Linked DNA regions of Xenopus tropicalis. The protein of the gene in region 1 interacts with the protein of each later gene in a biochemical or structural test. Links are inferred from orthologs where the notes say so. Each region holds a gene or a part of one and is shown in the gene's direction. Other genes may lie near its edges.

Region 1 (2,833 bases):
GAGAACTTAGTGGAAAATGAGGGACTGCCACATGCTGCAAGCAATGTTGAGTTTGAAAATGCAGTAGTTGTGGGTAAAAAGACTGACATGTCTACAAATAGGTCACCTATGGACTGTCCTTTGCAGTCAGACTTGTCTAACTTAACTGGGAATATGCAGGATAACTTTGTTCCAGAAATCAAAATCAGGTTGAAAAGTGCTACTCAAGATAAACATTATCAGTTACTTACAAAAAACACTGAAGTAAGTGCCACACAAACAGAAGAAGTTTTGCAGTGTGCAGCAGGTTTGGGAACATGTATTGGGAACATAAAGTCAAACAAACCATGTGAAAAAGGCAATAGCAATAATCCAGTTGAACCTCATGAGCTTGAAAGCAAGAGAGCAGAGAAAGAGGATGATGGAATATGTATCATTAAAATGCCACTTCCTAAAAGCTGTATAGCTGCTGAAGCACAAACCAACATGGAGCCATTACATGGTGATATCAGTGATGAGGCTGATTTCTCTAAAGTTTCTGATGTGTCACATTTAAGTAACAAAAATGGTGTATCCATGAAAATACAGGAGACTGCAAAATGTCTACAAAGTAGAACAGTCAGTGTAATTGGGTCCTGCAGTGACTCCGTGATGAATGTAAAAAGTAAAGAGGGTCATGTCAAAAGCATGAAAAGAAAGAAGAGCCTGACACAGACCTCACCGAAAAATGGGGATGGATTATTCAATGGCACAGATGACAAAGGGGAAGGAATAAAAATTAAGCGTCCAAGAAAAAATTGGTAAGGAAATTAAACAGTTTAGCAATAACCTCACTGAGGAAGTAAGGTAAGTCTTTTTCAGATGCAGATGACCACATGGTTGGAATGTGCTGTGCTAAAACGTTTGATTGGTTGCCCTGCATTACTGCCCAGATGCAAAGTTGCCCAGTGTTTAGAAGTGACCCACATGGTGTTTTATACAATAGAACAAACTCCTAAGGTGGCCATACACGTAGCAATTTCAATCTTTTGTGTGACCATTGGTTGCACGAAAGGTCGTTCCCACCTTCCACTGACGTTCAGGGCTGAATCGTCTGATATGGAGGTAGTAACAATAGAAATCCTACCTCCACCTGCGATTCAGCCCTGAACGTAGATTTTGCTCAATCTTTTAACCTGGCCGATCGACGAGTTCACCGATATCCGCAGCCTTTTGCAATATCAGTCGCCTCTTCGAGCAGCCATACGCGCACCGAATATCATAAGAAATGAGGTTTCGTACGATATTATTGGTGCGTGTATGGCCGGCTTTAAATGATTTCTGGGAGCTAAAACCACATAGAAATAACTGTCTCAGATTGTTTACTTTTTCAATTTTTTGGTTCTGGATCAAATCGGAATTGAAAAGTGAACAAAAAAGCTTTGGAGGGAAGAAAAGCAAGAAGATAATTCTTTTTAATGCAAATATAGGATTCTGTAAACCAAGTTAATGTCAGCAAAATATTTAATTTCTTACCTTTCTCTTCCTAGCACCTCTGATTCAGACAGCAACAGTCAATTTTCACCTGAAATTTCTTTAGACCTGATTGTGAGCTGCAGCCCTCCAGAATCTCCCTGTCCTGCATCAAATCAGGGTCTCAAGGTAAGTAGAAAAACAACATTTTATAAAGGGGTAGGCAACATAATATTTAATATCTGTTAAATATTTGTCTTTTACTCCTTCATCCAACTTTTATTTTTTTTCATATTTTTCTTTCCTAATTGAATTCACCTCCTAGTTTGGTATTCAAACTCTGGTTCTTTTTATTTTTTTTTTTATTCTCTAAACCTCGTGTCTTCCTCTGACTTTGTCTGACAACTTTTCTTTGCTTTCAGTCTCATGCCTCAACACAGTGTGACCCTGATGAAGTGATTGTGCTTTCAGACTGAACTTACATTGGAACAATTAATTTATGAGCAACATTGACTAAGGTTTCTTCTGCGGCTATATATGGACTATCTTCTACAGGTGTTGACAAGCATTGATTTTTTTTTATTCATGTATAGTATAGTAAGGATAACACCTGGATGAATTATCTTGGCTTGATAAGCGGACCAATGGCACTGAATTGTTTGGAGGCTTCTGGGAAGTTTTATATATGGGCTATGGAACTCATATAGAGGGTTAGTTCTTGAAGGGCTATGTGCCTCTTCAGATTTGGGTATATCCCAGGGATTATTTTGGATATCTCCTGCAAACAAACCTTTTTTTTGGATTTGTAAAAAAAAAAGAAAGAAAACTTTAATAAATTTGTGTTTTATTACTACTGAGTCATGTTTTTCTTCTTACACAGTTCTGAAAGTGTCACTGGTAATATGAAAACAAAGGTGGTAAAGCAAACAAGGAAATTAAAGAGCAACAGAATATTTTAATGTTATGTAAAACAAATGAGAAATGTGTCAAACTCAATCCTTGGAACAGGGTAAATGCAGGAAGTCTGCAAGGCACTTAAACGGGTTGTTTGCCTTTAAATTAACTTTTAGTATGATGTAGAGCAGGGGTGGCGAATACATTGATCGCGGTCCACCAGTCGATCCCCGAGGATTTCTGGTGGCCTGCATCACATACGTACGAATTCACGCCGCACTTCCCACGTCGTCAGTCGATCGGAGGAAAAAAGTCTGCCCATCCCTGATGTAGTGTGATATTCTGAGACAATTTGCAATTGGTTTTAATTTGTTATTGTTTGCGGTTTTTGAATTATTAAGCTTTTTATTTAGCAGCTCTCCAGTTTGCAGTTTTTCCATTCTGGTTGTTAGGGTTACCCTAGCAACCATGCACTGATTTGAATAAGCTACAGGAATATGAATAGGCG
Region 2 (4,428 bases), on another chromosome or scaffold:
GTTTATCTGTCACTAGACTGGACACAGCACTTGCTGGGAATTTCCATTGACTTTAGATTCTAGCATTTTATCCTCCTCCCACATATGGAGAAAATGCTGTGGCGACAAAATGCTAGAAATCTCCCAGTCTGCGAATACCCTTAGGTAATACAATGAACACACTTGGATATGTCTGGATGCAATCATCCACTGAAGGATCTAAAAGTATAATTTATAACTAAATGAAAGGCCTTCTGCACATTTTTTGGGGTAAAGAATGGCATGTTTACTAAATGCTGGTTTCAATGACATGCCAGGGAGTGCAGTAAGTACCAGTCATAATGTGACTGGGATTCTATACTGGAACGTGGCACTGAGGATGTTAATTGAAGCTTTTCTGGGTGAAATATTCCCCTCACTACCATCACACTATCCAGGTCGGACTAGGCTGGGAGGACACCAGGAAAAAATCCAGTGGGTGCCTCCAAGCCTCAATACCCCCCATTGCCACAGCCCTCCGATGCGGAACAAAGTATAATGTATGTGCATGGGGGAGGGCTGGTGGTGGGTGAGTGGGCTGTGGGGACTCCTGAGGTGGTGTGGAGGCCACTTGTGTAGCACAACCCCAGTCTACCACTAACAACATCTGAATGGAACAATGGTGGTTTGCAGCCCTAGTGTATCTACAGCAGCGGAGATAACACACAGTGTGACCCTGGCCTAGAGCTCACCAAAGAATAAGGCTAGATATGCTACACATTATGTTTTGGGCTTCTGTACTAGTCCAAGGCCTCCACAGTTCCATAGAAGTCAGAACAACTGAAAACAACTGATCACATTTTGGGTGACAGGGGACTTTATAGTGGTGGAAAGTTGTTCCTCCTGTTTTACTTAACAGCTTCTAGACAAGGGATCCCCAAGATTTTTTTACTCATGAGCAACATTTCAATGAAAAAAAAACTGGGGAGCAACACAAGCACAAAAACTTTCCTAGTAGGTGACCAGTAAGTATTCAGATTAGGTAATTAGTAGCCCAATGTGGGCTGGCAGACTACTAGAGACTGTTTAGCAGTACACATGGTCTTTATGCCTCCAAAACTTGCCTCCAAGTCAGAAATCCAAAAATGGGCACTAACTTTAAGGCCACTGGGAGCAACATCAAAGGGGTTGTTTGCTTGTGAGCCACTTGTTGAGGATCACTGTTCTAGACTATAGTATTATTTCTCAACAGGGTATCAAGCTAAGAAAGAATGGTAAGGCAAAGATTGGCTCATTGGTCACCTTCTAGTTGGCCGGCTGTTAATGGCAGGTCATGCCTGGCTGTGATATACAAGCCTGCATTGTCTTGTGTATATGCATAGTGAGTAAAGCTCTTAGTATTATGTATGCCCCACCATTGGAATGTACAGTATATAGCATCTGCAGAGTAGCTTTCCCAGCACAGTTGCCTCTGGGCTGACTCCCACCCTCTGTACTCTGTGTGCAGGAGTCGGACACTGCCCAGCCCTCATTCTCCTCTCTCCCTTGCTTGTGGCTGGATTCTCCCTGCTGAGATGCCCCTCTGATTTCTGACGATTACCACTGCGTCCCTTGGCTGCACTTCCTCTCCTCTCTCTTCTAATAATTTTTTTTTACATTTTTTTAGTCTTTTTTTTTTTTACTTCTGACGTGTAAATCTTGGCAGCTTCTCTTCCAGAGATCTGGATTTCTTTGTCTTGGTTCTGCAGGAAACTTGGGGGACATTTCCAGAGGTTTAACGCTATTTAATGCTTCCGGAAATATTTGAATTTCATGAAATTACTGTTGTGAATTAGCTTCATGCCAGGAGGAGGCTGCCCTGCATTGCTTTGTGCATTCTTTGCAGTACACTGGCATCCTGGGAGCTGCAAGCACAGTCACCAAGGGGCAGTGGATATGGGTCAGTGGCTCCTCTCTGAATTCCTGCTGTCACTTTCCCTTGTGTCAGCAGTGGGACCCTCCTCCAGAAAGATCTAGCACCATCCTTAGCACCATGGCACAAGCACTGGGATGCACTGAGATGCAATGAGGACACCCCATACAAGTGATGAAGTTACACTCTTTGTAAATTTCCTGTTGCTGCTTTTTTTTTCTCCTGCAGTCTTAAGTCATGAACAGAACAGAGTGCTACAGAAATACAAAGAGCAGAAGACACGGGGAGGGCGGAAGCCTGAGACTTTAACATAAAAGCACAGTTGTCTAATGCCAGAGAAAGGAAAGGAGAAGTTATTTGACTCCCCTGCTGACTAGAATCCTGTGAGATGTGGGAAAATGGGGCCAGCTATGAGATAATCGAGCTGAAGGATCTGAAGCCGAGGGATGGCATCGATCTGACGCAAAGCTCCCGTGGGGGGCACCGCCTGGAGCGTACCAATGCTGTCAGGATCCCTCCAAGCAGGACACCCCCTATTCTGCAGAGGAGCCTGAGAAGGAGAATACTTGGTGGGCAAGGTGACATACTGCCACCTGGGAAAGCAGGAGAGGGACATTATTTCCAGCCCACATCTAACACTCAGCACACTTGGTGTGACCTCTGCGGGGACTTCATATGGGGCATCTACAGGAAAAGCCTTCGCTGTGTGTGTGAGTACCAGTGGGTAAAACAAATATTAACCCTTAGTTACCATATCCTATCTCTATTCTGTCATAGCCCCAAGTTACAGGAACCAGTGATGATTTGGACATGTTATCATTTGCCTAGATGGAAATGATTTCTGAGGACACATTGGTGTCAGGCTGCTGCTCCACATGTGTCTTCCTGTGCCGGTACCTTCCCTGTGTGTTACACTTAAGGTGACCATACAAGTTTAGATTCCAGTCTTCTTCAACTAATGTTTGCTTGTCAATTATATGTTTAAATACAACGATCTGAAACTAACATTCAGACTGAAATTGTAGTATAAAGCCCTAAATATAACAAATCTGAGGATGTTCTGTACATGAAATAGTTGGCAGACACCAACCGTACAAAAGTTATGTCCCAGAAATACATTGTGGGTCCCCCAAGGATATTGTCAGATACACAATACATGCACAGATTTTAGCGTTATCGGAATGAAATTTTCTAACCTGTCTGATCTACCAATCACCATGGTACAACAATTATCGGGATGATAATTTGGAGCCCACACAGTCCGAAAATCATATAATATATAAGTTGTGCACGATTATACTGCTGCGTGTATAGCCAGCTTTACAGTGTGTTCTGCTGTGTGGTACCACATTCAGTGAGTAGTGGAAGTGATCCATACAGCTCGGAATAGGAAGCTGAGGAAGGATAGGAAGGAGGCAATTGCTAAACGAAGAGAGCAGGTACTGCTTTGGGTGAATTGGACCAGTTACAGTAGGCAGTGGAATGCCCTGCATGGCAACCACAGCACCATACACCAGCCATTCAGCCTTAATGAATATGTTTTAAAAACCAATATTCATTAACTGGAAGAATTCAGTATCCAACCAATCCAATATAAAGATTATGAATTTAGTGCATCTTAAAAAAATTCCTGTCAGAAGAGAGACTGTCCATGGAAATTAGGCAGGGAATAGTTAATATCTATACGTTCTGACCTTTGGGGGGGGGAAAAAAAGGGTTAGAGTGTGAGCAGCAGATTTGCTCTGTTTCACCATTTTATAATATTCCCCAATATCTCAAGCTGCTAAAAGAACAACAGGTCTAAGATGTCAAATCCCAACACTGAGTGGCCCCTGTGGCCCCATTTTCATCAGAGCAGGATACTTGATTGATTTTACCTTTAAAAAATGAAAGAGTTAAGCCTCAGCCATGGGAATATCCTGGCTTTATTCAGAAAGAATCTATTATTTAGCAGTCTATAAGGTTGAAATGCAGATTTAGACACTTCAGATGTGGTTGAGCTAAAGGTGTGCCTCAGCTACATCCGGATACCAGTTGCCCGTACCTGGTCCATAATGTGCTTTAATTATTAGAGCAAAGTGAAATAATTCAACATATGTTAAAGCTGTATGAATCTCATTGGCTGGGTGTTAAAAGGGAGTCTATAAATAGAGGTTTCTACAACAGAGAATTGCCAAACAACCAATGAGAATGCAGACATTTATCATCTGAACTCAGGTTTTAATAAGGACATCTAACCATCTGTGCCAATTGCCATTGTATGAGAGTCAGGCAGAGGTTTTTGTTTGGATCATAAGGTACAACACAGAAGTATAGTGTGAGAACACGGAAGGTTTCATTGTGTATGGACTAAAAATTGCACCAATAGAAAGTCGTTTTCATTGGTAGTAGACAGGTGCCCAAGACAGAGGAGACAAGATGACTATGGCTTCTTAGTTTCAGTGGCACCTATAGTCAGGGCTAGCAGGAAAGAGAATACAAAGGGACAGACACTGCTTTCGGAAGCAATTCCATTTACCAATAACTTTAAAATCACTGATATTTTTAATCCATGTGTA

What was found.
Region 2: the proteins of daxx (region 1) and rassf1 form a complex in vitro, tested with the Homo sapiens proteins (4 studies listed by BioGRID and IntAct, with this or other methods). The link is inferred for Xenopus tropicalis from reciprocal best matches to the Homo sapiens genes DAXX and RASSF1.

Annotation. Positions count from the first base shown.
Region 1 is NC_030684.2:72,189,742-72,192,574, reverse strand, and holds the end of daxx (death domain-associated protein 6), read left to right. Parts: coding exon 1-779; intron 780-1,508; coding exon 1,509-1,620; intron 1,621-1,853; coding exon 1,854-1,907; 3' UTR 1,908-2,281; downstream 2,282-2,833. UniProt on the Homo sapiens protein: Transcription corepressor known to repress transcriptional potential of several sumoylated transcription factors. Down-regulates basal and activated transcription.
Region 2 is NC_030680.2:127,237,856-127,242,283, reverse strand, and holds the start of rassf1 (ras association domain-containing protein 1), read left to right. Parts: upstream 1-1,600; 5' UTR 1,601-2,258; coding exon 2,259-2,580; intron 2,581-4,428. UniProt on the Homo sapiens protein: Potential tumor suppressor. Required for death receptor-dependent apoptosis. Mediates activation of STK3/MST2 and STK4/MST1 during Fas-induced apoptosis by preventing their dephosphorylation.